3 linked regions of the Alligator mississippiensis genome follow. The protein of the gene in region 3 interacts with the protein of the main gene of each other region in a pairwise test. Links are inferred from orthologs where the notes say so. Each region holds a gene or a part of one and is shown on either strand. Other genes may lie near its edges.

The links.
Region 1: the proteins of MCMBP (region 3) and ASL interact in binary tests that used the Homo sapiens proteins (3 or more experiments, as listed by UniProt). The two-hybrid records come from large-scale screens. The link is inferred for Alligator mississippiensis from reciprocal best matches to the Homo sapiens genes MCMBP and ASL.
Region 2: the proteins of MCMBP (region 3) and PRTFDC1 interact in binary tests that used the Homo sapiens proteins (3 or more experiments, as listed by UniProt). The two-hybrid records come from large-scale screens. The link is inferred for Alligator mississippiensis from reciprocal best matches to the Homo sapiens genes MCMBP and PRTFDC1.

The regions. Positions count from the first base shown.
Region 1 is NC_081837.1:10,092,304-10,102,458, forward strand, and holds the start of ASL (argininosuccinate lyase), read left to right. Parts: upstream 1-6,316; 5' UTR 6,317-6,402; coding exon 6,403-6,408; intron 6,409-6,424; exon of another isoform or gene 6,425-6,489; intron 6,490-6,812; coding exon 6,813-6,872; intron 6,873-9,977; coding exon 9,978-10,155.
Region 2 is NC_081828.1:187,829,802-187,839,823, forward strand, and holds the start of PRTFDC1 (phosphoribosyltransferase domain-containing protein 1), read right to left. Parts: upstream 4,780-10,022; 5' UTR 4,669-4,779; coding exon 4,615-4,668; intron 1-4,614. UniProt on the Homo sapiens protein: Has low, barely detectable phosphoribosyltransferase activity (in vitro). Binds GMP, IMP and alpha-D-5-phosphoribosyl 1-pyrophosphate (PRPP). Is not expected to contribute to purine metabolism or GMP salvage.
Region 3 is NC_081829.1:87,094,013-87,103,893, forward strand, and holds the start of MCMBP (mini-chromosome maintenance complex-binding protein), read left to right. Parts: upstream 1-5,189; 5' UTR 5,190-5,276; coding exon 5,277-5,334; intron 5,335-6,808; coding exon 6,809-6,894; intron 6,895-6,983; exon of another isoform or gene 6,984-7,090; intron 7,091-9,234; coding exon 9,235-9,375; intron 9,376-9,774; coding exon 9,775-9,816; intron 9,817-9,881. Other genes in the region: SEC23IP (SEC23-interacting protein), read right to left, coding at 4,902-5,058. UniProt on the Homo sapiens protein: Associated component of the MCM complex that acts as a regulator of DNA replication.

The sequences.
Region 1 (10,155 bases), on a different chromosome or scaffold from region 3:
GAAGAATTACATACAGATTCTTTCCATTAAAAAAACTGAGAAGATCCTGGACTGTATATTCAACAGGCAAGCACAGAATGAATCAGCAGTTCGTTTAACTGCGATTTTATACTGTTTAAATCAAGCGTGGGTTTGTTTTTAAAATGGTAAACCTTTTGGGACCACAAGCACTTAAACTTCTTTTGTACCAATTAACAGCAAACAGAAACCCATCCAGTTGTCAAGCTGTTACTTAAAAAATTAAGTTTTTACTAGCGGGATTGATTATTGCTAAGGGTATGGGGAGATACAAATTTATTATAGCTACAAAGTCCTCTTGCTGTTCAGTACTTTGTCAAGCTACGAGGATTTTAAATGAAATAATATAGCAAACATTATGGCCAGCGTGCTTATTCAGGTTGATTTGTATCATTACAAAAAAAATTGGCAAAGCAGAAACAGACTTCAGTTTTTATGTCAGTCTGCACCGTCGTATGAACGTCTGAACAACCAAAAAGTATGCATGCAATATATCAGCATGCAGTTTATTTTTATAGCAATTCTAATTTGGGGATTTTACATCAGTTATCTACATAGCGCACTTAGGAGTAACCTGTACATGGAAAAGGAAAAAAAAAAATGACTTAATTTGAAACCTCTTCCGTAAATATATTTTAGATTCCTTTGGGAAAAAAAAGTATTTTTTTAACCTAAATTACTAAGATCATCCTCATGTACTACAGATTCGTCTCATCTTAGTCCATAAGAGCCACTCTTTTAAGATATACTTTAGAATACAATTGCCATGGTACGCTCCTATAGGAAATTAAACAAAAATGATCCATTTCTAAACCAAACAGCTCATCCTCCTCCCCCTCTATCCAGGCCTTAAAAACCTCCAAGAATGCAGCCTCCCCCACGTCCGGGTGACCTGCTGCGGCGCTTCACCGCCCTCCTAGTGAGAAAATTTTCCCCAATGTCCAAAACTCAGTAAGTGGCCGTCGCCCCTGGTCCCCCCCCGTGTCACCGCCGTCAAGCGAGGCTCGGAGACGCCCGGGGTTTCTTCAGAGGCCTTCATGTTGCCATCTGCGCGGCCCACGCTTGCAAATCTACTGCGCGGCCAGGAGCATGCGCACGGCCAGGCCTTTTCTCCCCGGGGTTAAGAAAATAGCGTTTTTGGGAGGGGGAACGGCCCGGGGGTGAATCACTCCCCACCCGGGGACATTTTTGCTCTGGGAGAAAACAAACCACGACTCTCCCAGTCCTCTCCCCGCACCCGCGGCCTCTTCCCCCCGCGCGGCCCTTACACGTCCATGGCGCCCGTGCTGCGTCCCGGGGGCAAGGAGAAGGACGAGGGGGCGGGGCGGGGCGGGGCGGGGCGAAGCGCAGCGCAGCGCAGCGCAGCGCGGGGGCCGCCGGGAAAAAGAACGTCGGAAGCGGCAAAAAAAGGTTACACTTGCATTGGCCGGGAATCGAACCCGGGCCTCCCGCGTGGCAGGCGAGAATTCTACCACTGAACCACCAATGCGGACGCACGCGGTGCGGCTGCCCCGCTCGCTCCTCCCGCGCCGCAACGCCCTGCACGGGCTGCCCTGCACTAATTGTGGGTCCCTTCGGGTCTGCCCTGCAGCACCCTGCTTGTGGGTCCATGCAGGTGTGCCCTGCACCAATTGTGGGTCCATGCAGGTGTGCCCTGCCCTGCTTTGGGGTCCATGAAAGTCTGCCCTGCACCAATTGTGGGTCCATGCAGGTGTGCCCTGCCCTGCCCTGCTTTGGGGTCCATGCAAGTCTGCCCTGCACCAATTGTGGGTCCATGCAGGTGTGCCCTGTCCTGGTTGTGGGTCTGCCCTGCACCGAACACTTTGGTTGTGGGTCTCTGCAGCTTTGCCCTACACTAGGTGCATCTACACATCGCCATACGGGAACGGTGTGACTGCGCTGTGCTTTTGGAAGTACTAAAACATGGTGTGGTAACCGCCTGGACGGTGCCAAATGGGCACCACGTGTTTAAATTTTCTCGCTGTGTCTCCAGAGCAGGGCACCGTAAGCGGGGAGCGCGCCACTACTGCGACGTAGCTAGCGATACGTCGCCGTAGCGTGCCATGCGTCACTATGTCGCCATAGGGTGATGTGCAGGCGCGCCCGCTGCTTTGGTTGCTTCTTGCCCTTTCTCCTGACGGTGAAGGGAGAGGTTTCACCTGCCCACAAAAAGAAAGGCCCACTGCTGGCACAAGGCTTGGCACAGGCAGAAACACCCCAGAATTCACCAGTTTGAGTTGTGTGTGTCCCAGCCAGCTTCGGCTGTGATAATAAAAGGGGAAGAGTGAATCAAATCATTTTTGTCCGTCCAGAAAATGAACTCCGGGCCTTGCACGCACAGCATGTCGCCATCACCTGTGTGAACAACATGATACCTTATAGGAAATCCTCTCCTGGGTGCCATCAGGCATTTCTTCCTAAAGTGCTTTTATGGGTCTCATCAGCTGACACACCAATATTCCACCTTCTTCACCGCCCTCCCACTGGTTATAACCTCAATATATTGTATTACAGTTTGCATCAACCCCGTTTCAACCCAGAGAAAGCGAGCTCCGCTCTTCTCCGGACACAGCTGAGAATTGCTTTGGATACAGCACGCAAAACAACGGCCTTGCCCGTGACCATAGGACAGGCCTGCGCAATACAAGAAACTCCTTGTGTCCTCTGAGTTTAGGGCCATGCTATTACTTGGGATCCAGCAAATAGCCATCGAGCCCTAATGACCCAGGGAGGTGACCCAAAATGGTATCTTCTCTAGAAGAGTCAGCCTCTTTCATCAATGAAAGGACTGAAATATGAACCACCACGGTCATACCCCTGGAACCACCACAGTCGTTGCACAGTGACAGCAATGAACAAACACCCAGATCAACAGACAGACTCCAGAGAGAGCTAGAGTCGCCTTTGTTTGTTCATGTGATTTACTGACCCTGGCACAATATGGCCAAAACCAGCAGAGCAAAGTCCTGCGACAGCTCTGCCGGGTGCTATACGATACCACGTGCACCTGCTTTTTTATGCTTAGCATCTCATTTCTGTCTTCCAACACCAGGTAATTATCTGCATCTTATTTGATATCTTTCCTAGGGCTTCGTTCCTGAGCCCTGCTATGCACTTCAGCCACTGGGCTCTGGAGTTCATGCACAACCAAAATTATCACTGTGCTCCACACAAACTACTTTCCAAAGAGAAGATGCAAAAGTAGTGATTAGCCCAGGTATCTCGGTTTTTAATTTCTGTACTTCTGATTGGACTCAGCGGCTTGGGATGTGTACATTCGAGTATCCATAGGGAATGCAGACATGGAATTTTCTAAATGTGCAACGTATAAACATTTCAAGCATAGGATTGTGATTGTTACCACTAAGGCTCAATGAGAGAGGAGCCTTGGTATTAACTACTGAAAGCAGGGGACATAGTAACTGCTATGGAAAGCAGATCTGCAATGTATCTATTCTTTGTCATGAAAGATGTTTTCTGTATTCAGCATTTTGCATCTTTTTTACATTCAAAATTCATTAAACAATTCTTTTTATAAAACATGTCAGCACTGCTCCACACCAACCCAGCTAACAGTGCATTTCACTGACCAGCAGACCGAGTCTATAGGATGACTTTAGGGCAAAGGTTATGTGAGTCAATTCATTTCTAGCGTTAGGCCTAATACAAAGAGTATATTCCTGCAAATCACTATATAAAGCACTGAAAGGACTGAACATGATTATTAAAAACTCCTGTAATAAAGGAAAAATTAAAAGAAATCGGTAATGCTGTAACTAGTCCCCAAGAAGCAAGTGCGGTTAAGGCACGAATCTCTAATTTTTTGGAACAACGAAATGTAGTAAAATAAAGTTCAATGTTTCTTTGCAGTTGAATGTGCCATATTCCCCTCCAGAGCACCCCAGTATGTGTGGTACATCAGCTTGGAAAAGAAAAAGATCAGAAATGGGACTGTGCTCCATTCCCTGTCCCCAGGAGAAATGATCTGAAGTACATAGTGCCATTTCATCAGGGGCTTCATAGAAGCAAGTAAAAAAGCAAAATGATAAAGCAGAAAGTGGGAGGAAATTAAAAACGGGAAAAAAGAGAAAGAAGCATTTATTTGAGGCCCATTTTACAATCCTTAATTGGCACAAAGGTACTATTACTCTCTAGCTCAAAATCACCCTGTTAAAATATCCTGCTGCCTTGTTTACTGCTATCCCCATACCTGGAACGTCTGTTCTGATTTCCAGTTTAATTTCTGTTATTCACACTTTCCATGCTGTTCATCACTAGCAAAAGGACTGTAACTGTGACGTTCCATTCAGAACAGTAGAAAAGAATTAACCATCTCCTGTAGGCAGGTAAGTAAATACATTCAGCAAATTCCCCCAAATAATCATTGCTGTGAGCATCTAGACGCCAGTGGTGGAAAGGAGATGAAGTGGTGGGACTGAGACAAGAAGGGTTGAGTGGATGGAGAGGACAAGCCACAGGTAAGGAGAAAAAGACTTCAAATGGGAACAAGGGACATGGCAAGAGAAAGACAATACAAGAAATGCAGGGGGTAAAGAAATGATTGCAGGGGGGGAGATACAGGGAGTGGAGAAATGATTGCACATGTTCTGCTGGGGATTTTGATGACAAATTCACCTGAAATTTAATTTGTACCATTCCTAGAGCTCCTCAAAGGCCTGGATACTGAAGACTGGAATAAGTAGTGCACTGTAATATAGTTAACAAACAGTGTGAATAATAATAATAATAAAAGTAATAGCAACAAAAGTAAAAAAAATACATCATTAGGAGTGTGGAAGAAGGAAAAAGCATTTCCTTGCTGGGGAGTGACTGAGTATTTAGAGCCAAGGAACAAATGCTGGGTTGGGGTCTGTTTTCTGGGATCTCCCCTACCTGTATCGTTGTTCAGTCCTTGGAGTTGGATCAGTTGACGAAGGGATTTTATTAAAATAGTGGCTCCCTGCAATAACAGGGACTAGACTCAACAACCCAGAAGGTCCCATCTAGTCCATTATGAATTAGCTAGCAGTGAATCAACAACCAGTGTATCAACCTGCACAATGAGGAACTTGAAAAGGCTATTCTGTTCTGCCACAATCAGTCTACAAAAGTTGAAAGCTAACAAGAGTCACTCGTTGATAACGACTCCCTCAACTGGCGAAAATGTAAAAGCCCACAGCTACTGTGGCAATATCCCCCCAAAATAGGTTTTACACATGCAGAGGTGGAAACAGGAAAGACTCATGGGGAATCCTGCAGGCCAGATGACACAGTGCCAGGGGCTGCATGTGGTCTGCAAACTGGGGGTTGAGCACCCCGCTCTAATCCAATGTTTCTCAACCCGTGGGTTGCGGCCCAAAAGTGGGTCGCAAGAATATATGAAAGGATTGCAAGTGGATTATCCTTTAAAGGAGAAAAACATGGGAAACCATGGCTTTTCCCTTGCGCCAGTTCCAGCCTGCAAGGGGCTGCCTGAGGTCCCTCCAAGCCCCACACACACCCACCCCTTGCCCCACACATTGGGGGGCTAGGGCCTGGGGGTGAGGGGCACTGGGTCAGGACTGGCTATCGATGTGACAAATGGGCTCTGGTACAAAAAAGGTTGAGAGCCGCTGTTCTAATCCATGGGTGACTGGTGCCTCCCGAGTCTGGGAGGGCACCAGATCCCCCAGCGGGCGATCACCGAACCAGCAGCAAAACCGGCGAAACTGGAAGTGCACTTCTGCCGGCACTTCGGGTTTCGCGGCTGGCGCCAAGGGGGTGCATGGCTGATCTCTGCACCCGTGTGCACCCGCTACGCGTCACCAATGTTCTTGTAATCCATCCCAACCTCCTAGCAGTGGTACGTGATGGGGAAAAGTCGAGGATCAACTCCTATTGACTCCCAGCATAGTTTTCTGCATGGCTTACAGAGGTGTGTTTCAAGTTGAGACAATATTTTGAACTCCAGAGGTTTTAAACAGCTACTAAATAATAAGTTGAGCTTTTGAATTCAGATGCACATAGGCAAACTCTCGTTTCCCAGAACAATACACTCCAGGCATGGAGGTTTTCTCCAACAGAAAACATTAGGGAGTCTCTCCCCTCCATCCCATTCTCTCCTTCTGCCCCCATAATGTATGCTCTTTGCAAGCTAAATAGGCTCAGGGGGCTTATATGCTCTGAGCTCAGACCATCTGAATAAATCATTATAATTTGCTAGCATTGCAATATTGGAGCACAGCAGGACCGGACAGGGTGGGACTAGATGTGGGAGGGAACTCCAGGGAAATTCCAGATCTGTTCAGCCCCCCCCTGTGGAGGCGGGGCTATGACATCAGCTGGCTGTGCCTAAAAGCAGCCCTCTGAGCCAGACCCAGCAGAGATCAGCCAGTGCTTCCCTGCATGCAGGTGAGTTAAGCTGAACCCAGCTGGGACGCGAACCAGAGGGGGCTGGAGTGCACTTTCCGACCCTCTGCGCTCACATTTCAGGTTGCAGGAGACCTCGCTGCGTTGCCAATATACAGTGCAACGCAACTGCTTTGCCTCTTGTGCAATAAATCCTGTCCTGCTGGAGCTGATGATGGATGATTAATCATGTTTTCTTTACCCCCGGGCAGGATTTTTGCAAACAGCGGGTTGTACAAAGCGGTGGGGTGGCGGTACTTTCTTGCGGGGCGGTCTGGAGCGGTTTGGCCAAAGCTGTGGGGTGGCGGTACTTTCCTGCGGGGCGGTCTGGAGCGGTTTGTCCAAAAGGTGCACGCTGAACTGCCTGTCTGAGAGGGGAAAACATCTGTGCTGTGTTCTTCTTGCAGACTGCACAAGTTGCTGAAGTCTCCAGAGGAAACAGGCAGCCTTCAGACATGACGGCTGAGGTGAGTGTGAGCTTTGATTTCTTAGTAGTAGTTGTCACCCACTCTCCTGTGCTTAGGATGGGAGCTGCTCCAGCTGCAAACTAAACTCTTGAGAAGCTTGATTAAAAATATCAGAGAGCAACATTTTATCAGAGCTCTTTTTCACATGAGATCACTTATTTTAGGTGAAGATCACTTTGCAGTTAAGTACTATTTAGACAGCTACTTGTACAACCACTCACCAGCAGTATCTGTCTGTACCAAGGCTGCATTTTCAGTATCTGCCCCAAACTAGCAGCCTCTGAACCAAACTGGTCTGCCTCCTCTCCCATCTAATGCTACTGCATTTTGACAAGCATCCTCCACCTCTTCTACCCTCATCGCTGCCCTGATTAGTTTGACAGGTAGCAATTTCAACTGAGAGACAAGTCCCCACAAAACTTATGGTGAAATACTGTGACTGCCAAAAGTTAAATGAGAGAGTCTGGGAAAAAAAAGTCTAGTTATGAACATACTATCAGTTGCAAGGTGAGCTTGGTTACCTCAATTTTCCATGTCTGAATTCAGGGTGAGAAAATCCCAAATAAATGTAACTGCGAATCTGTCCATTTTCCACCTCTTTACCTAGGTTTGGTCACTCATTTTTAGCATTGTTCCTGTGGGTCACTCATTTTTAGCATTGTTCCTGTGAACCAGCAGAGGAAACTAATAGAAGGGCAATGTCTAATCAGTATTGTAGCTGAGGCCCTGCAAAATTTGACTGTGGACAAAGTTAGAATTAAAAATGGGCATATGCTTAAAACAGCCCTGAAATCAAATCTTTAAACACAAAGGGCCTAATTTTATGGTTCTAAAAAGGCAAATTTCACAAGGATGTACTTTTCTTTACAGGGACACAATGATAGGGCCCATAAAAGATATTGGTTCAGCAGGAATTGGTTTAATAGGTGGAGACAGTCTCTGGGGGGAAAGTTTCCCAGAGTTACTCACCAGTAACCCCTTTAGCTGATAAAATAATGGTACTGATTATCTTGAGACAGGGTCCTATCCAGTCAGCTGCCATGGAGGGTGGTTTGGATGTGAAAAGGGAGAGGCAGAAATGTGTAAGATATAAGGCAGATGGGCCAAAGTATCCACATTGCAATTCAGGCTCTGCGGCAGGAAGTTTCCGTAAATGCTCCCCAAATGCTTCTCTTTGCCTGCTAGTATCTGCTCTGGAAATTTGCTTTTAAAATCCATTTGGATCAATCCTGGAGTCCATACATAAGCAGAGCTCCCATTTGAGTCCAGTGGAAATTTGGCCTGAGTAAGGGCTTCAGCATCGGGCGCTGGTCAGACCGCAGTTGGAGTACTGCGTGCAATTCTGGGCACCGCACTTCAAGAGGGATGTGGATAACCTGGAGAGGGTCCAGAGAAGGGCCACCCGTATGGTTAAGGGCTTGCAGACCAAGCCCTACGAGGAGAGACTAGCTAAACTGGACCTTTTCAGCCTCCGCAAGAGAAGGTTGAGAGGCGACCTTGTGGCTGCCTTTAAGTTCATCACGGGGGCACAGAAGGGAATTGGTGAGTATTTATTCACCAAGGCGCCCCGGGGGTTACAAGAAACAATGGCCACAAGCTAGCAGAGAGCAGATTGAGATTGGACATTAGGAAGAACTTCTTCACGGTTTGAGTGGCCAAGGTCTGGAACGGGCTCCCAAGGGAGGTGGTGCTCTCCCCTACCCTGGGGGTCTTCAAGAGGAGGTTAGACGAGTATCTAGCTGGGGTCATCTAGACCCAGCACTCTTTCCTGCCTATGCAGGGGGTCGGACTCGAAGATCTATTGAGGTCCCTTCTGACCCTAACATCTATGAATCTATGTGTCCCACTTGGGTAAGCAAGTGACTTGTGACCAAACAACACATCTTCTTGGCTGCTGAAGCAGATGCTTGTACAAATCCAGGGTGAGATGGGCCTTGCATTTTGACTAGCTTGAAGGGTGACTTAGATTCAGAGAATCATAGAAAATTAGCATTAGAAGGGACCTCAGGAGGTCACATCTAGTCCAACCCCCTGCTCAAAACAAGATCATCCCCACCTCGATCATCCCAGCCAGGGCTTTGTTCAGCCGGGTCTTAGGAACCTCCAAGGATGGAGCTTCCACCACCTCTCTGGGTAACCCGGTCCAGGGTTTTACTACCGTCCTAGTGAGAAAGTTCTTCCTAATATCTAACCTAAACTTCCCTTCCTTCCGAGGCACCCTTCTAAAACAAACACCACAAGGCCACACACAAATAATGAATATACTAGATGAATGGATGTGTAAAAAAACCCTTCAAAATTGCAGAGCCTGAGACATTTTATAGCTGTTTTGTCTTCCCAAGGTATGGCTGATAAAAAACCAAGGAGGAAACTCTCATTTGTGTTTGTGTAACAGTGTCCTTTTAAACTACTTACTGAAAACATTATGCTATTAGACCTATCGTGTCAGAGCTGCTGGCTTGGAAGCTGGAGATGCTAAGACTCCACTGAGTCAAGGTCAGGACTGATGTTCACATTATTATTTTTTGTATTGTGGCATCACCCTGGAGCCCTCATTTTCCCAGAAGGAAAAGGCTGGTCCTTAACTCAAAGAGCTTACAGAGGACCGGACCCACTGGCTGATAGGGGATGATGTAGGGGGGAAGCCCAAGGAAATGAGACAGGGAATGGCCTCAGTACATGGGCAGCCCAACGGTTATGCTTCTTTGCAGGCTATTGCAGATTACCAGCTGCGTAAGGGAGTGTAGCTCGTTCAATGTGGGAAGAGAAAGAGGGTCAATGCTGCCAACAGGAGCTTGTAAATTTGTAAATGTAAAGCACTCATCTTATTCTGATCCCTCTAGAGGTCAGTTCCAGCACTATTTACACCACTTCCAAATCCAGCCTGTTGACTTAGTCCAGATCCTTTGGCAGGGGTGCAGCATTTGCTTACACCAGGTCTGAATTTGATCCCATATGCTCTGTTATATGCTAACGCTGCAGAGTGGCAGGGGACTGTCCCACCGTCCTGTTTTTAAAATCAGCGCTAATCTGAAGGATTGTGTTTCTTTGGGTGTCCAAAATGATTGATCTGTCTGCTTTCTTTTCCCACTTCCTTTTGCACAGGGGGATAAACTTTGGGGGGGAAGATTTGTAGGAGGCCTGGATCCCATCATGGAGAGGCTCAACTCTTCCATTGATTATGACCAGAGATTGTCAGAAGTTGACATCCAAGGGAGCATGGCTTATGCCAAGGCCTTGGAAAAGACTGGAATTCTAACCAAACCTGAGGTGGAGAAGATCC
Region 2 (10,022 bases), on a different chromosome or scaffold from region 3:
TGCTTCTTCATTTTAATAATTATTCAATCATTTTGGTTACTCAGTTCTATTATTAGTCTTGATGTGGCTTCTACCTTTCTCATTGATATATTTTTTTCTGCAGCCAGTTTGGTACACTAAATTATGCTTTGAAGAAATAATGCTTAGCTAATGATGGTAATTTTGTAACATAGTTTCTTAGATACACAACAGAAACTGTTTCCTGTAGAGCTTTGTCTTGTTCAAAATTATTATTTGTTGGCAATTAATATTTAAAGACAGCATAATCCAAAGACCATTGGTGTCCAGAGTTTTTCCACTGATTTTGATGGGCTATGGATCTGGTCATTAAAAAGAGCTACTCAGCTGTAGTCCTTTTTTCACAGGACAAGCAGTTACTAAGGGTATGCAAAGAGGGCCCTATTCGATTCGGATTCGGCCGGAATCAGGGACAGTGATTCGATTAATTGATTTGGATCACCATCCCTGATCCAATCAGCCAAATCTGAACCTGAAGATTTGATGCTGATTCGGAGAATCAGCGATTCGGACATGGACACAGCGTTAAATGTTTTTTCTACATATCTCTAAGGACTAGTGTGGTTTGTGAATGCTGCGATGCTGGGGCAGCCTCCATGTGCTCGGCGGTGAACCTGGAAGTGGACCGGAAGTACTTCTGGTTCACTTCGGGGTCTGCCAGGGAGTGCACTGCCCCCCTCCCTCCTCCGGCTCAGCGATCAGCTGTGGGGGGACTCTGGTTATCCCCCCCCAGACCCAGGAGGCACCAGTCATTGAGCCGGGGGAGAGTGAGGGGGTCCCCCTGGCATACTCCCCAGAAGTGGACTGGAAGCACTTCTCATCCACTTACAGGTCTGCTGCTGAGCATGCTGGGGAACCCTCCATGCTCTTGTGGGACACTCTATCCGCCCCAGCATCGCAACATTCACGAGCCACCTGCTACCTAGAGGTATGTAGAAAAATCATTTAAAGCTGTGTCTATGTCCAAATTGCCAAATCTTTCTGAATCAATTTGGAGGGTTCTGATTTGATTCAGATTCAGAGATTTGTCCACCAAATTGGGTTGAATCTCCACCAAATCAAATCAGGGACTGAAACTTTGCACAGCTCTAGCAGTTACATCCATCCTGACAGTTGTGTTATAGTAAAAAACAAACAAAAAAACTTTACAACTGCAAAAGGTCCAGAAAACTTATCTGTAAGTCTTCTTCAACTCTAATTTAAATTAATCTATTTACAGGGGACTTATACTTTAACATTTTTTATCGACTTCAAGACGCTTTGTCTAGTTATGGAGCCTAGGAGCAGACTAAAAAAAAAAATCAAAACTGATCCAAAAATGATTTAAAAATAACAATCTTTACTGAAGTTACGATAGATCTTTTTACAGTCAGTATTGCATTCTAATTCTTCTATCAACCATTCTGTTTCTTTCCCCAAATCCACTCTTACCAGTGAAACAACACAAACTGTATCATCCTATAAAGATCCCTACTGATTACCATTTTAATGGGAAATCAATAAACCTTCTATAGCTGTTCCTTTCTCTTTAGATACATAGCCACCTACCAATAACAGGCCTTGTGAATGAATTCTTTGGAACTGATCTCACAAGGTCCCTTCCAGCCCTAAACTTCTGTGAATCTGTGACCCTACTTCTCATTAGATGCAAACACAGCTACAGCATTAAAGAAGAAATACTATAACATGATTTTGAAGAATCTCCACTGGAATCCCTACTTTTCAGGCCATAGTAATTTTCAATAAAGAAGGGCTGAAAGATTTCTATGCTTGTTCTTAGACAAATGGTGAATTAAGAATATATAAAGAAAGAACCTAAAGGAAGAAACTATAGCTCATTTAGTTGTTGTCAGTTATGTAAGTCTGAAGAAAGGTTTGCCATGCTTTTCAAAAACATATTAATAGTAGAGTAAGTAAAACAATTAAGTTCAAGCATGACACGTATTGTATTCAAATGCGGAACAGCGTGCCAGTAATTGTTGAGGAATAAAAATTGTTGAGGAAATATATTACATGACAATCAGTCTGAAAGCATGATATGTCTGAATGTAATCACTTAGGACATCTGGAACAAAACTACAGGAATACCTTATTATGCCATGAAAACACACTGGACCGAAAGAACTCTTAGAAGGGAGTGGAAAGTGGTAATCTGTCAAAAAATAGGGACTCTCTCCTTGTATCTGACACACACAGGCAGTATTTATTTACAGCAGTTAAATTTCATTGCAGTATACAACACAGGTCTGGTTCCACTTTCATGTAAACTGGTAGGCTGGGGCATCAAGCAATCTTCCAGAAGAATATGAGAACCGTAACAACGTCGTTATCTTTGTAAATGGCACTTATCACAGCAATTACCATCCGGCTACCCAGTCTGTAAATGAAAGTACATTAACAGCTCCTCCATGCATTATAGCTGCAATTGTTTGCAATTACAACATGGTGACTTTTGGGCTATAGTCCAGAGCAAGGGTTAGCAACTCCTGGCATGCATGCCAGAGCCTGGCAGGTGGGAAATGGGCTGGGGCTGCACTGCTGCAAGGATCGGGTACCTCGCATCTCCCCTGAGCCCCAAGGCATGTGTGAACCTGCTGCCAGCAACGAGCTGGGCCGGCGCTCTGCAGACCTCAGCACAGAGGATTATAGCTTTCTCACCACCTGCTATGGGCAGCCTGGACTCCGTGGCAAGTGGCAGAGTCCTGCCCAGAGCCTGAGCCAGTCGGAAGATGCAAGCCAGTGCACTGAGATCTGAAGAGCCCTGCCCTGGCTCGTTGCTGGTGGCAGGTGCAAGCAAGGGACCTGATCCTTGTTGTGGCAGTGCAGAACCACCCCTTCCTCACTGTCTACCCCTGGGTGCGTGTGCACCTGCCGCCAGCAATTAGCCAGGCCAGGGCTCCACAGACATTGGTGCAGTAGATTCCAGCCTCCCAGCTGCCTGCCACAGCCAGCCGACTCTAGACAGGCCCCTGCCACCCGCCACGGAGTTTGGGCTGCTCACAGCAGGTGGCAGGGAGTCTGCAAGCTACTGAGGTCTGCAGAGCCCAGGCCCAGGTTGTTGCTGGTGGCAGGTGTGTGCGCAACATGGGTCGGACAGCAAGGAAGAGTCTGGGGCTGCGCTGCCACAAGTATTGGGCCCCTCCCCCCCGCTGTCCGGCCTCTTGCATGCCAACACGTGGACCCCCTGAGATTGGCCATGCACCCCTTGGAAGTGCCAGCTGCAAAACCAGTGCACTTCCGGTTTTGCCACTGGCTTGGCGATTGGCTGCTAGGGGTCCCCCACCATCTGCAATCTGGTGCCCCCCCCAGACTCAGGAAGCACCATTTGCCCATGCCTGGGCCTGAGAATTGTTTTGGAAGCTAATTAAGACACTGCTGGTAACACTACCATAATGCAACTGGAATACGATGATAACCTATTCCCTAGTGTTTTTACAGTGTAGATAAAAAATGGCTGTTTCTTAGAACGTCTTTGGAAACCTAGCTTCTTCGTCTGCTGTTATAAGCCCATAAATCCCTGGAACTTTACAAAACATGTAGTTTTAGACAATTTCAGTACACAGAAAGGGTAAAATGAAAAGAACTCAAAAGTAGGCTTTTATTATTGGGCCCCAAACCCATAGATAAGTGGATGACTAGCCTTTATTTAGGTGCTTCAGTGGATGCTAATACCTGAATATTTTGTGTATTTGGATCTACATTCCTTGTCACAGACCCTAGAGGTAATGCTCAAGACGATTCAACAGAGGCCTTGTTTTTCCTTAGAAACTACTAGTTTTGTAATGTGTGACACCTTTGCTAGTCGCTGCTGAGTTTGCTTCTACCACTCACAAACTGCAGTGCTGTAATCACCAGACTAATCTAGAAACCAGAGGTTTTTCTCTTTCTCCAGCAGCCAGCCAGGCACACACATGCAACATGGGGCGGAGAAAAACGCAGCGCAGGGCAGAGCAGAAAAGAGTTCGGTTTAAAGACAGGGAGACCGAGCTCAGGTTTGAGAGCAATGGGGCAGGGCTGATGAAGGAAGAACAAGCTGGCAGAGGGCTGATCACAGAGCGGGAAGGGTAGGATACAGCAGGGCAGGGCTGATGAAGGAAGAACAAGCTGGCAGAGGGCTGGTCACAGAGCGGGAAGGGTAAGATACAGCAGAGCAGATAACAAGCCGGATGTGGGGCTGGATCAGCGCAAAGCAGGATCACTGCAGAGATGCAGGAGGAACAAGCAGGGGGGCCAAGGCTTTGCACAGACGTCTGGCAGCACAAAGGCCAAAGCAAGAGGGAGGACGTGGCGGGAGAAATCAAGGACCTATCCAGGGAGAGGTGCGGGGGGAAGGGGGGGGAGCCCCAGGTCCCGGGGGGTTGGGGGGGGAGATGGGGGAGCGCTGGCAATGGGGAGGAAGGGGGGGGATGCAGAGGACGAGGGCGGCACCCCGGGGGCAGGGGCTGGGAGGAGGGGAGGGGAGCGCCTGGATGAAGGCAGGACAGGGCAGGGCAGGGCAGGGCTGAGGCAGGATGTGAGGGCAGCCCGCAGCCCAGGCCCGGCGGCATGAAGCTGGGGCCGCGGGAAGAGGCGGGGGAGGGGGGAGCTTCCATTTACCACAACCCCGCGGGCGCTGCCTCTCCGCGCCGCCAGCCCGCCCGGCCCGGCCATCTTCTCGCGCCCGCCCGCCCGGCCCGGCCCGGCCCAAGCGTGGGGACGGGGATGGGGCTGGGAGCAGGCGCCGGCCTACAACGTGGAGCCCAGCAGCTTCGGGCCGGCCCCGCCCCCAGATCCGGCCGGGGCGGGGCCGTGTCGCCCCGCCCCGAGGCCCCGCCCCGCCCCGCAGCGCTCTTCGCGCCGCACGGGGATGTGGGGGGTGGGGAGCGGCGGCACCGAACCCGGCCTAGGCCCGGAGGTGCCCGCTGTGGGGGTGTGTCGCCGCCGCCGCGCGCTCGCCCCTCCTGACACTGAGTGCACACCGGTCTCCCCGAGCAGCAGCCATTTTTGCTTGGGAAGAAAAAAGCCCTGCGCACGTGCGGACGCCTGCTGTGCCCGGGGCCCGGCCCAGGCGGGAGAGGCGGCGAACAGGGCAAGAGCATGTGCGAGGGCGCAGAAACGCCTTCCTGGGCGATCAGCGCCGCAGGATGCGTGGGAGTCAGCGCTCCCCGCACAGTCAATTTCTGGGGGCTGCTGAGAAGACAGGAAGCTCCTTTGCTCACATGCCTGGTTGTGGGCAAGCCCTCCATGGGAAGATGATCCCCGCAGGTCATTGATGGGTCTTGAGATAATTTAAGAATCCAGTTTTTGGGCCACACGTTTGCCACAAGCACTGCTGTGGGAGTCAGTACATCAGCTGTGTCTGTTCCTGTCTCTAGATACGTTGCCACCTGCCAGTAACAGGCCTCGTGAATGTAATTCTTTGGAAATGATTCAGCTAAGCTGCTCCAACCTGTTAGATATTCAGCTCTTGTTACGTTTGGGCTTCAAAAATTTCCACTTACGCTTGGAATCTCGTTACGCTGGAGTCTGTTGCCTCACAAATGCTGACGCAATGAAAATATTCCCAAGCTCCTCCCAGGGGCCCATGTGCAGAGCAGATAACAAGCCGGATGGGGGACAGGATCAGTGCAAAGCAGGACTGCAGAGATGCAGGAGGAACAAGCAGACCGGCAGGGGGGCAACGATGGCAGCACAGCAAGGATTTGCACAGGTGTCTGGCAACGTAAAGGCCACAAGGGCCAAAGCAAAAGGGAGGACGTGGGGGGAGAAATCAAGGACCTATTCAGGGAGAGGGTGCAGTGCGGGGTGGGGCAAAGCTAAGTGAATCTCAAAACATTTGTTACTACAAAAAATTCGCTACAGCAAACACGTTTTTCAGCCCTTGTCTGTATAGTATTGTATTGCTATACCAAGCAAAAAAAAAAGGTAACACCAAAATCTTAGACATTAACAAAACATGCTTTGATGAGATATATTAGGAGAGGGAAAAACAGTTCCTGAAGGGAGAAAAGTTGAAATTGGTAGAAGCAAGATCTGGCTGGGAAGAAATGCAGGGAAAGAAATTGGCTTGACTTGGTCTTAAACTATGTTTTGAACACTTTTGCATATAAAGAAATTTCAGTGCTATGAAATAAACTGGACTCTCTTTTGATCAGGCTGCCATCACATCCTGCCTGGTGTAACAAGATTCCCCCTATATTAGACCAAATGAAAATTATATCCATTTCTGTGTCTTGATTCCCAGCACCTAATTCAGCACTACGTCTGGAAATAAATCAAACCTTTGACTAAAACTTCTCTCACTCCTAACTTTTGTGACTGACTATACTATAATTTGTGTCTGCTGGTGCCGGTGCTATGATATACTTTTCATACATGGACGATGTTGTTTTGCCTACAAAGGCTTATAGTCCAGGAAAGGACGAAAACAAAAAAAAAGTACAAGAGAGGTCAGGTGGTCAAGTGGAGATTGGTTCTGTCCCATCAACCAGTCTTAAGTACACAATATCTTTGCTTTTGATAGAGAAGGTAGAAACAGCCTTACACACGCTCAACTATTACAGCAATTTGTAGATGTCATGTGGCTGGATGAGGAGCCGCCTGGCTAGAAGGGGCGATACTTAGAGGAGTTTAAGTCTAGTGACTGAAGCAAAGAAGCAGTGTTGCCAGGTGTACGATAATTATCATATTTGTGTGAAAATGTCAACCCTTGTACAATGTATAGCCAATAATGGTAAAAGTTTTCAAAATGTACCTGGCAGGGCACATTTGGTGCCTGCCACTTTAAGGGCCTGTGTAGGTAGCAGAGCAGCCTGTGGGTGACTGCACTCCCAGTTAGGAGAGTCACATGGCCAGCGGGAGGCCGCCTGTTTGGAAGGAGGGCCTAGCTGCTAGGGAATAAAAGCAGGCCCTGAGCAGTAGAGCTAGCAGTTGCTGTAAGGAGCTGGAGAGAGAACATTGTTTGGTTGGATCTGCTGCTCTCAGAACATCTGGAGGTAAAGAGCAGGAACTGTGGGGGCTGCAGTTATTGGGCCACAATTATTGCCCCTTGTCATGACCCAAAGGTCTGATTTTTTTTGTGTGCGCTTCGGCACTCGAATTATCCCCGTGGGTTTACAGCTTCATTGCACGGAGGAGTTCTGCTGCGCAGAGAACCCGCGTGCAAAGGAGAGTTCCCGCCACTTTGCAGCGGTCTTTGCAGGGTGCATTTCCTTTGCAACACAGAAATGCACGGTGCAAAGGAGTTCCCGCTCGTTGTATGCAAATTTGTGCCCCGCAATTGGCTAGTGCTAAATTATTCACATGTGGCGGCTAGTGATTGGCCTGCTAGCCGTATAAGAGGCTTGAGCAATTTCCACCCAAGCCGAAGAGGACTCCGCATCCATCTCGTGGGGACTCTGGGTGTGTGCGGCAGGGTAATAGAAACCCTGTGTGTTGCTCAGAGGAGTTTGGTGGCCTGATCCACCGCCCACCTCTTCCCGTCTTCGAACGGAGCCTGCTATAAGACGTACCGACGAGTTTTATGTGCGTTTGTCCTGGACATCCGGAGTTTTGTCTGCGTGGAGCCTAGCAAGCTCCACGTGATTGTTTGAGTTCTGTCTGCGTGGAGCCTTGCAAACTCCACGTGTGTTCGTGTTTTCTGTTGTAACCGCAACTCAAGCAAGTTCTCAGCCTGCACCGTGACCATCTCGGTGTAAGTAAACAATCTTAAAATCAACCGTTAAGTGTCTGTGCCTAATTCTAGCTCGGCGACCTCCCTCTCCGACCCGGCCTGCCCAGGCTACCGGCCACAGCCCGCATGCAGAGTGATGAAAAGGACCCGGGGCCTGACCCCGCCCGCACACCCCTAAGGCACATAAGGCCAGGAGGGCCATGATTTATTGCTAAAGGGGTAAATTGGGTGCAAGCTGGGCATGTGGAGAAATAGACAGTTGAGAGACTGGAGCTCACTCTAGGACCCTTGGGCATCCTCCATAAATATTAGGAGATCCATCAAGGCATAGTAGGTGAAGTAGAAAAGGGAGGATAGCCCAAAGAGCTGGAGTGGGGCAAAAGTTGCATAGCCATCGCAGGGCAGGGGGTGTCATGGCTACCCCTGGCTCTGCTACATTGAACAATGAGAGATTTGAATAAGGGAAAGTTGATCAAGTCTCTTCTTTGCATAGGTTACCTCTTACTCTCCACGGGGAGCGGTAAGCTTCCTACTTGCCACAGTCTGAGTCAGACACCAGCAGAGCCAAACACCAATCTCATACACTAACAAACAAACACACAATCCAAACATCTCAACGCACATGTGCGCACGCACGCACGCACACACACACACACACCTCTGCCATGACCACGCTCAAACACAAAACAGTGCCAAGATGTGGGGATTTCAAGGCCTCAGTCACTCCACTTTACTAACCAGACATCTGAGGTAAAGAGCCTGTCACTCCATATCAATCAAACCTCTGGGACCTCCTGCTGTGTCCAGCCAGGGGCATGGACCAAGGTGGTCAAGGGCCCTAAGGCCCGCCGCACCAAGGCCCCACCCCCGCCACAACTGAGCAACAGGTATGCACCTCTTGCTGCCCCAGCAGAGCCTGCTGAGTTGCCGGCCCCCACAGGCAACATGGGCCCAACTGCAACTCCCACCCCTGCTCTCCCCAAGACAAAACGTAAGGTGTTTGTTGTGGGAGACTCCCTCCTGAGGGGGACGGAGAGGCCAATCTGCCACCCTGACCCCTTAGCCCGGCAAGTCTGCTGCTTCCCAGGGGTCCGCATCCGGGACATTGCGGAGAGGATCCCCAAGCTCCTCAAACCCACAGACCGCTATGCCATGCTCCTTATTCATGTGGGCACCAATGACACGGCTCGGAGCACTCCCAGCCAGGTCATGAGGCGCTACAGGGATTTGGGAGCGGGGCTTAAAGGTCTGGGGGCACAGGTGGTGTTCTCGTCGATCCTCCGAGTCTCAGGCTATGGGCTGAGAAGGGACAGGAGGATCTATGTGGTCAACCAAAGACTGCGGCGCTGGTGTCGTCAGGAAGGCTTTGGCTTTCATGACCACAGCCCGCTCTTTGGCGAGAGAGGCAGCGAGCTGCTGGGAAGAGATGGTCTCCACCTCTCTCCCCTAGGGAGGAGGCTCTTCTCAGCCAGACTGGCTGACCTGCTCCACCGGGCTTTAAACTAAGCCCGCTGGGGGACGGGGGCACGACCGCCACTGCTGGCCCGCTGAGCAAATCTTGCAAAGCCAGCGGATCATGCCACTCAAGGGAGCCCGCCCCAGCCCCAGCCCTGGTAAAATCTGTGGGCAAGGAAGGAGCCCCCCAGGGGGCGCTTGCCTGCCTGTACACAAATGCCAGGAGCTTGGGGAATAAGCAGGAGGAACTCATTCTCCTGCTCAGTGCAAACAATTACGATGTCATAGGGATCACGGAGACCTGGTGGGACTCCACCCATGACTGGACCATGGGGATAGATGGCTATACCCTGTACAGGAGGGATCGTGTAGAGAAAAGGGGTGGGGGTGTAGCTCTCTATGTTAAGGAAAGCTACGCGTCCCTGCAAGCCGATATTGGCGACCAGGGTGGACGGCTGGAGACCCTCTGGGTTAAAATCCGTGGGGAACACGGCACAGGGGACACAATGGTGGGAGTCTATTACAGACCTCCCACCCAAAGTCCTGAGCTAGACCAGGAGTTTGCCCAGGAACTGGCTGAGGCAGCTTGCTCCAGGACCATGGTTGTCATGGGTGACTTCAATTACCCAGATACCTCGTGGGAGGATCGCTCAGCAAAATCTGAGCGGTCGCAGAGCTTCCTCTCGTGCGTGGATGACCTCTACCTGACTCAAGAAGTCTATGGCCCAACGAGAGGCAAAGCGCTGCTCGACCTGGTGCTGGCTACTGGGGAGGACCTAGTCGGCGACCTAGTGATCGATGGGAAGCTGGGTGACAGCGACCACGAGCTGATCACCTTCACCATCCGCCGAAAAGCTGGCAAGTCGGTCAGCAACACGCAAGTCCTTGACTTCAGGAA
Region 3 (9,881 bases):
GTGCACTAAACTTCTGTTCTGTTACAGGTTTAAATGAGTCTCTGACAACTTAAACCAGTTTGTGTGTAACTTCTGCCCCTAGCCAAAGTGCACCTGCAGTCAAAATGACCTCCAGAGTTTGGAAAGGAAACATAGTGTTACTCTTCCACTAAAACACAGCCAAAAATACAGCCCAAATATCTACATAGTTGCAATCCACAATAAATGGATTAATCTGCAACCAAAGGAAATCACTGTAAATCTCTCCTCTAATAAAAACATATAACTATGCTTTTCGGTTAAAGGAAAATACTATCTTCATATGTCAATTTTTTTCAGATATGTACAAAGAAGGCCGAATTGCTTTTTTTTATAAATGCCAAGCACAGCAGGGTTTGGGGTTTTAAGGCAGTGTATAATCCTAATGAGTTACTCAATTAAACTATGCGAAGTTATCCACAGATCAAAGCCCTTAGTTGTTAAACTGTAATGGTCCATTTTCCTCTGGCACTTTATTAATACAGTGGAAGTTAAGTGACACACTATGCTTCAATAATTCACATTCCATCCAAAAGGAACCAGGAACTTAGCTATAATTACCAAGATAAGCACTATGTATGCTATAAAGGTATTACTTCAGATCCGGCTAAAAACCCAGGACCTCCTACATGTATCTTTCTATTAGCAGAACCACTCATATTTTGAATTCTTTAATGTCATATATAGATTATTATAATTACTGATATCTGAGACAAGAAAGGATTTCTAACACCACTAAATTTTTATTTGCAAAAAACACTACTTTTATTCTATGTTCCAGAGCTGTTTGAAAGTACATAGCTAACAATGTTTTCTTTGAAAATCACAAGAAAAGTTTCTGATAGAAATTTTGCAAATCTAGTTCTTCCCAATATTAAACCTGCCAAACTAACCTTGAATGTAAATTTGAAGGCCATTTGATATACAGTAAGACAGCAACAGAAAAAAGGGCTGATCACAAAAACAACTGTGTTCACATATAATGGTAATATATAACTGTATTAACGACTTTTCTTCATATGCTGCAGTCCTTTTTTAACAGTAGTTCTGACCACATCTTTAACCAAGGCCATCTGCCCAACAATCATTTCAAAGCAATGTACCATTTTAGTGTGCTCAACTCTGCTCCTATGGATGATATACACCAGGGGTGGGCAAAATGAGGCCCATCAAGCCACTCCATCCGGCCCGTGAGGCCCCTAAAAAATTTAGAAAATAAATATTTATCTGTCCTGGGGTGCCTGTCATGTGGCCCTCGATGGCTTGCCAAAACTAAGTAAGCAGCCCTCTGCCCAAAATAATTGCCCGCCCCGATACAGACTCTTCTGAAGCTGAGCAAAAGACAGCATCCTTCCTTCTCCAAAAGCTGCCAGCTTTTAAAGACAAAAGATTTATGAAGGCACCTTATTTCCAGATAGTATCTGGCAATTCACTTTGGTTTTGATTCCAGAAGACTATGGTTTATAATAACTGAAAGGCTTCTTCCTTTAATGTGAAAATGACCCCTAGCTCTACATGCTGTGCAGATGATCCCTATGATGTCAACAGAGCTTTGCAGGGGTCCAAGGATCCACAAAGGCAGAGCATCAAGCAGGACCAAACCTTAATCTGACAAGTACAGCATTCCATCATACCCCTAAAACCATCCTGCAGGAGTCAGGCAGTGATATGCACCCTGGCTAGCAGGCCTTTTGTTTTCAATACACTGTACCTGGAAATCTATGCCTGACTAATGTCTAAAGCAAAATGCATCTTTGATCAAGAATTTTTATCAGCTCTATGGGATGGACTCCTATTACCAGATATATTTACAGTGTGGCATATCATTTATTCACCTAGCATCCACTTACAACAAATATTTGCATTACTAGGGCTTGAAAATAGCCAGCTCTTTTGGGGAAAAACTTGTGTAACTGCTACAAAGTTAACAAATATTGCCCAGAAGAAAGGAGCTGGCCATGGGGACTGTAGAAACATGGGGCGTCTATACACATGCTCAGGGAGTGGGGAGGGGAGAGAGGGGGGCCCTTTAATTACAGCGGCTCTCAGAGCCACTCTAATTAAAACACTCGGAGCATCTTGCACATCAGCGTCCCCACACTGAAAAATGGTGGTGGGGTACGTTAACTAAAGCTTGTTGAACAAGCTTTAGTTAAAGGGCCCTTGCTGCAATTTTTCAGCACGGGGATGCTAATACACAAGACACTGGAGTCTGCTGGAGCACATTAATTACCACACTCCAGCAGACTCAATTAATTGACTCTGCTCTGATGCACTATAATTACAGCGCATCAGAGCAGCCTTGCTGCATGTGTATAGGTGCCCATGGGTTTTTTTTAAGTATGTGCAGTTCATTCAGACAATCCATTGTCAAGGACATCAGCTGTTCACCAACCCAGTGTACTTATATCTTCTTACTCATCTAATGCTTTTATTTGACAAAAAGGGAAAACTGGAAGCCTCACTTAAAATTATTATAACCAAACCTGTTATACAAAAGTAAATAAATAACTAAAAGGATGCATTCAGTTCCTGATTATCCAATATTATCTTTAGTGTCTTAATAAATGTTTAATGGGCTGAATCATAGCATTGATGGATCCAAATCTTAACTTTTTGGCCCCTGTGTATTTTAATTTCTCTATAGGATTACACTAATATCATTTTGTATTTCCCAAAGAATATTAAAAGAGGCAAAAGATATGTTTTCATTGGCCATACTTTCAGGGATTTTTGCACTGCCTGAAGTTATACTAACTGGGAATTTCAAATTCAAATAGATGTACTTAAGCATGCTTATTTGTGCATGTACCTGTCAGTACACCTTCGCGACTACAGGAAAAAAAAATCATCATCACACTTATGCACTTAAGTTAATAAGGAAATTAAAGTGCACATGCTGAGCATGCTATTTTTCTTGTTTATAGCCTATTCATGAACTGATTAAGTTCTGACTCCAGGGGCAGAGAATGACATGGGACACTCCTCTGAGGACTGCTCATCATACCATGCTGGAAACATTAAAGTGGAACCATTAATTATTCTTCTACACAAAGTACCCAGCTGGGAACAGCTACACGAGAATTAAAACAGGTAGCTGAAAATATTACAAAAAGTGTTGTTTCCTCAAACATCCCAAATGTATAGCTAAAAGACACACAGGAGAAACTGCAGCTCATAGAGAATTTTCTATTAAGGTTTGGTGAACAGAAAATAGGAGATGGAAAAGAAAGTTAGCACAGAGAACGAAGTTAAGGTCAAATTAAAAGTCCGAGTAGGTATGACATTTGGCAATTGACTTGAGGCAGGACAGCATGCAGATGATGGAATAATTGACCTAGGCAAACTTGAAGTGGAAAGCTGAAGAGAAGAACTGTCTTTTCACGACTTTTCTGATTAGGTGGTGCAATGGACCAACAAGTAAGGATCAGCCAAGAAGGCCCATGGCACTGAAGTAACATCCAGGGTCACATAACTACATAAGCTACAATGTTCACCACTTGAGCACTTAGGGTAAGCACATAATTCACTTTATTGCACAGCACCACACAGGTCCCAATGTTTTGCCTCTTGCTTACACTGTAACAAACTTCAGTTGTCTGCCTATCAGTTGCATGCTACTTGTGTAGTGACTTTTTGGTCCCGCTGTAGGTAACTGCATAATTTGGGAAAGGGAGTGGGACCCAGCAGTATCCAAGCTTTTAAAGCAGCCTTGAACAACCCGACTGTGTCAATGTCAAGAGCCAGCAGCCATGTATCAGACAGGGAAGGAGGCTCTGCTCAGGGGGAACCCCAGAGACTGCGGCGCTGTTTTCCTGTCCCTCATCCATCCACAACTCCAGGCAGTTTCACTGAGCAGCGTCCGCAGGATCCTTGGACTTGTTTGCGGGGCAGTGGGCCCTGGCTGGCGTGCTCTTCTTGCTGTCCCCCTCCTTGCAACAATCATTATTAACCACAGACGCAAACTCAAGTTCCTGTTTTTTCTTCTGTTGTCCCCAGAACCTCTTCTTATATAGCTAGTTGCCTCCCTAACTGAGGGCGGTTTATAGGCATAAGCCCACTGCTGCTTTAATAACAAACAGGCCTGTCAACTTCAAGCCTGCTATCAGAGGCATAAGCCAATCAGAGAAACAAGGTGCCTGGCTTCAATGAGCTGCGAAAGGCTCCTCCTGCAGCTAAGGAGCACTGCTCACGCTGGGTCTGGGGAAACACGTAATGCTGGGCGAGCCTTGTCCCAGGCCCTAGGCCGTGCACCCCAATGGTGCACGCTGCGCAGTGCCCATGGCACTAAACCCCTGCTGCTCCCCACCCTGGGCAATGGGACCTCTGCAAAGGAAACAACGACGGGCACCAGGGCAGACGCACCGCGCCGTCGCCGCACCTAACCTACGCCAGGCCCCGGCCACTTCCCCAGAAGGCGCCGTGTGCGGGACATGGGACTGAGCATCCAAAACCCCACAGGGGGCCAGGTGCTCACTCACCTGCTCGCTTTCCTCCACCAGCCAGCTTTACCAGGACCCAAACTTCCTTCCAAGGCTGTCCCCACCACCGACCGCCCCATCGCGCCCATCAGCCTCTCCCCCACCCACACCACCGAGCCCCCTCCCCGCATTACCCACCGGGAAGCTCCCTTCCCCCATTACCCCTCCCCCATTGATCCCCCAACCCTCACTGCCCCTCCCCCATCGAGCCCCCTAACCCCACTGCCCCTCCCCCATTGATTCCCCACCCCCACTGCCCCTCCCCCATCGAGCCCCCTAACCCCACTGCCCCTCCCCCATTGCCCCTCCCCCATCGAGCCCCCTAACCCCACTGCCCTTCCCCCATCAAGCTACCTAACTCTCCTGCCCCTGCCCCTTCCCCACGACCCCTCCCGCACGTACCCGCGCCGAGCAGGGCGGGCCCCGGGGCGGGGGCGGGGGCGGTGTCGGCGGGGGCCTGGCTGACCGGGAGGAAGGGCACGGCGAAGCTGAACTCGGTGGCGGAGGAGGAGAAGAGCAGGTTGGTGCCGCCGGGCCCGGGGGGTTTGGCGGCCGCCATGTCTGCGTCCGCGTCCACGTCCACGTCCCCGGGCGTCACCGCCCCCACGGCCCCTTCCGCCCGCAGCGCTGCCCGGCTCCAAGATGGCGGCGCCGGCCTCAGCGCCTCACGCCCGGGGCGGGGCCCTTCCCCGCCGCCATTGCTGCAGCGGGAGGCAGGAAGTTGGCGGCGGCGCGGGGCTCCGTGTGCTGCCGCCCGCTCTCCCGCCCGCCCGCAACATGCCGTGCGTGGCCGACTGGCTCAACAGCCCGCTGCGCCTCGTGCAGGGCCTCTTCGGTGAGCGGGGCGGCCTCGTGCCGGCTGCCATGGGGCCAGCGCGGGGGTGCCTCAGTTTCCCCGGCCTGGCCTGGCCTGGCTGCGGGGCGGGGCGGCGTGAGGGATGTCTCCCGGTGTCGGCCTCACGCCGCAGGCTGCCCGGGCGGCGCGTGCTCGGCGCGGGTGAGGGGGGCGGTGTGGGCCGGGCCGAAGGGTTGATGCGCTTCACACGGGGCAGGGACTTGACCGGTCTCAAATAACCCTGAGACCCCCTTTCCACTTCCAAGCAGGGAAGCAACACTGATGTGGAGGGTTTCTGTCCCCCCCCCCCCGAGCCCCAAAACACCTGTGGACTGTGATCTCTGCAAGCAGGATACCTTTGGGCAGGATGGGCGTCCTGGCTGCGCTCCATCCCAAGCGGTGCGGGTTGGGATGCTGGCGGGCTGACCGACACGAGGCACAGAGTGCTTTATGTCCACACCTAACACTGAACCGCTTCAGGGACGACTGGCTCAAAATCATACGTGTTTTTTCTAGGGTGCTTGTAAAACGTTCCGGTCTAAAGTTGCACGTGCATCTAGGATCTTGGGGTTCAAAGTGTAACATTTATTGCATCTGCCCACCTTGGGGCATCAAGTGTGTGTCTGCGCACACCCTGCGAGGTGTACCGAGGAGAGGGGTGAGAACAGCTAGCTAGCCACGGCTTCTGCACCTCCGAAGTAGATGGCACGGAGACGCGAAGGCAAGCGAGGCTGTCTGAGAGAGATGTAGGGACTTCTTAAGGCGCGTATGCGTGGTTTGATCCCCGTCCGCATCGGGCTCCAAACCAACGTGAGGAGCTGGGCTTTGTGTAAGCTCAGCGAGCAAGTAGGGAGAGGTGTCAGAAATATCTTCCTGTCTGGAATCAGAAATGCTCTTCTATTACGTTGTTCTAGCCAAGCAAACGATGTTAGAAACGATTTTGAAAATGAAACCTTCAACTCTGCTCATGCATTTGGGACCTTTAAAATGCAGCAAAACCCTTGCCGAGTTCATTCACTGCCAGTTCTGCGTTTTGATCTCGTTACGGTTCCAACAGACAAAGCTTTGCCAATCCTGCACTTGGTATTAATCCATGTATGGCTTATTTTCTGGAAAAGCACTTGTGCTGAAACAAGCTTTCCAAAAACGTGACCGTGTGTGCACAGAAAGTAAGAAAGGTGGCTGATTCGCCCCTTCCTTGCCTGCTGGTCTGTGGCGTATTTGTAGTCCCGAGTTCTTGAGCCTCGTCTCACTTAAGCAGTGATGTGCTTGCTGTTATCGTTAAGAGACGGAGGAAGACATGGTGTTAAAATAGTCATAATGTGCACGTGTGCAGGAACAAGTCTCCCATAAAAATGTCGTTACCTTGCCAAACTGTGTTTACTTCACTCCGGTTCAGAGTGGTACATAAAACTCCGAAGTACTGTCCAGTTGCTTTTCTAAATACAGTTCTTTTTTTTGGTTTTTTTTCTAGCCCAAAGTGGTCCAAATCCTGAATGGGAGAAAAAAGTAACTGAATACTTCAGAGAGAAACTAAAAGAAAATAATGCTACTAACTGGGTGAGATTGTTTAGGAGTCTTTCCTTAAATTTCCTTCCTTTTGCATCAGTGATGATGATTTATTGTTTGCCAGGTTTTTCACTTTTAGAACTTGCTGATACCAGGCTGAAGAAGACACTGGAGACACTGGAAATCCCTACTTTGGCTTACCTGCAAAGTCACTGAAATGTGAAAAATCTGTCCAAAAATCAAAAGTGTAAGATCCTGATCCAAAGTCTTTTGAAACTCATGCAGTTGACTTCAGTGTACTTTGTACTATGACCCACTAGGTGGCAGTAGCTGACAAATGCAATCATCTGCAATGTATTCATTAAGGTATAAAAATCTGCCCTGGCTAGTCTAAAATTAGAGATAAATAAGTGTATACCAGAAGTTTCTGGCTAAGCACTTTCAAACTGATCAGGTTATATGATCTGTTACAGCTTTTGATGCTTTAAATGATTGGAGAAATAGTTGTTAAATTTCATATTTTAGTTTGGTTGAGGGAGATCATTTATTTTAATCTTCTACAAACTGTACCATATTATGTCAGTCTAAGCCCCTATTCTGTATTCAAAGATTAGGCAGCTAGCATGTATCTGATCTTCATATACAAGAAAAAGTTAGCTTGATTCCAAAATTGTTGGTCTACTCTGAAGGATAACTATAAAAATGGTATTATGGAATTCTGGATTTCTTGGCCCTCAAGTTAAATATGTTCAGTTTATCAGTAAAAAGAAAACCACCACAACAAACACAAGTATTTTTCCAATTTCAAAACACATTGAGAACCAAGAATCTTGTGTTTCAAGGAAAAAAACATTTTGTAACTAAAACTTTATCACCAATTGCATTTTTAACTGACTGAACTGCTAGGCATTACTAGTACCTGGGATGGAATAAAATATTTCTTTTCCTCTCTTATACAGCTGTGTGGGACCCCTGAGTTAAACTTTAAGTTGGATACAGTTACTTTAAAAAAAAAAAAAAGCAAATGCTATGGTGTGGATGTTCAGTCCGTGGTTACCATTTTTATATGATTGTAATTCCAGTAACTATATTTCACATTGAATGTATTTTTCCCTAATATGACAATGCAGTTAATACTGATTCAGAAAATCAAATAGACCTTGAATGAAAGGTGCACAGTACTGTTATTTCAGTAATTTGGAGATTTGGTTGCCTGGACAAGCCGTGCGCTTATCTTTTCCCATGGTCATCTCCTGTACAGATAAGCTTCTGTTACCTCAAAGCATGCCCTACATGTTTCTTTTGAAAGCGTGAATGCTTTGAGTACCAGAAAAGATGTTTGCTTGTTTTGCTGTGAGATGGCAGTGTTTCTTTCATGTTGCTTATTACAGTATTCCTAGTTGTGTTTTTCCTTGTCAAAAAAGTAAGGGTTTGGAAAAATGTCTTCTGTGCATCTGACAGTGTGTGAAACTTTAAATTTGTGCTGACCAGAAGGAATCCAGACAAATTCGATGAGATGAAGAATGTGACACTTAGCAATTAATTTTTTTGGGGTCAGTCTTAAAATGCACAAGAAAGAGGAGATTTTATATTGAATGGGTAATAGCAGATAGAGGGTGCAAGAATGAACTGGCGTGATCCTGATTCAGTAGGCTATCATTTGAAAATAAAATTTAGTCAAAGAGATGTTAACTTGATTTTGTTTTAAAACCAGTTAATTTAAATAAATTGATAAAGCATATTTCATTAACATTCATTGAAAGGATTTGTAAAGGCTTGTTTAATTCCCCCATTAAAATGGGCGGGGAGGAGGACAGTGACCAATAACAGCACTGCCGAAAATTGGTCCAGTCCCTGTCTGAACTTGCCTTCCACGCTCTTCAGTTACACTTCTAGTTTTACTGCACTTCTGGATGATCCCCTTTTTCAAAGGGTAGGAAACAGCAACATAAAAGTGCACCTGACATTCCAGTTAGTGAACTTGTATAAGCAAACTGCTTCAAATAAACCAAAACAAAATAGGGAAATTATTTTGTCTGTCTCTTTATATTAATCTTATCTGTCACTTATAGCAGTGTCTACAAAAGTTTCAGAAAGCAATATAACTCCTTAAACAGTCTTGGGTAAGACAATAGATGAGGCAAAATGACCAAAAAATCTTAAAGTTAATAGCTGACTTATCGATCATCCTTGTCCATTCCTTACTGCTCTTGCATTTATTGAGTGCTTGAGACAAGTAAGTGAATAGCAAGAAGTGCCATAATTAATTGACATATGTGGAAGTATTTTTGCAGTATCTATCTTTACCCATGATTTTTATCTTGAACAACTGGTATAAAAATGTGAGGCTTTTTTAAATATTAATTTGAAGCTTGTTCATGCTTCTTAAAGGTTCCATCGTTGAATGATGTCCCTTTGCATTACCTGAAGCCAAACAGTTTAGTCAAATTCCGCTGCATGGTTCAAGATATGTTTGACCCAGAATTTTACATGGGAGTTTATGAAACAGTTGACACAAATACCAGGACACGTGTAAGTAGAACACAGATTCATTACTAAGACAAAAGTTTACTATTTCCCTAATTGTAGTCTTTGTACTTTTCTGCTTCCTTAGTTTAACCTTTTACTTACCCAAAAGTTCACAATATTAATTCAGTTTATATGTGTTAGTTCACATTGTGGACATGCCATTTTGTTCTTTTTTTGGTTGTTATCTGTTACAAGTAGATACAATTGTGGAACTGTTATTGCATGTAAGATCCGTGGGAATTAAAAGAACATTCTCTCTCCCTTTAAATTCTTGAAACAGGACAAGTTTATACGGGTGGGTTTTTTGGAAAGACTTCAGACTGCATTTTTTCTGTTCACACTAGTCATTTATGTAATTCAGGATGCTGGAAGGAACATAACTATGGTTTTTCTGTTTTACAGGTTTTGCATTTTGGTAAATATAGAGATGTAGCAGAATGTGGGGTAAGTGATACTTGTACAAATGCTAGAGTTTAACTGTTTAATTTGAAACATTTAGTTTGAGATTA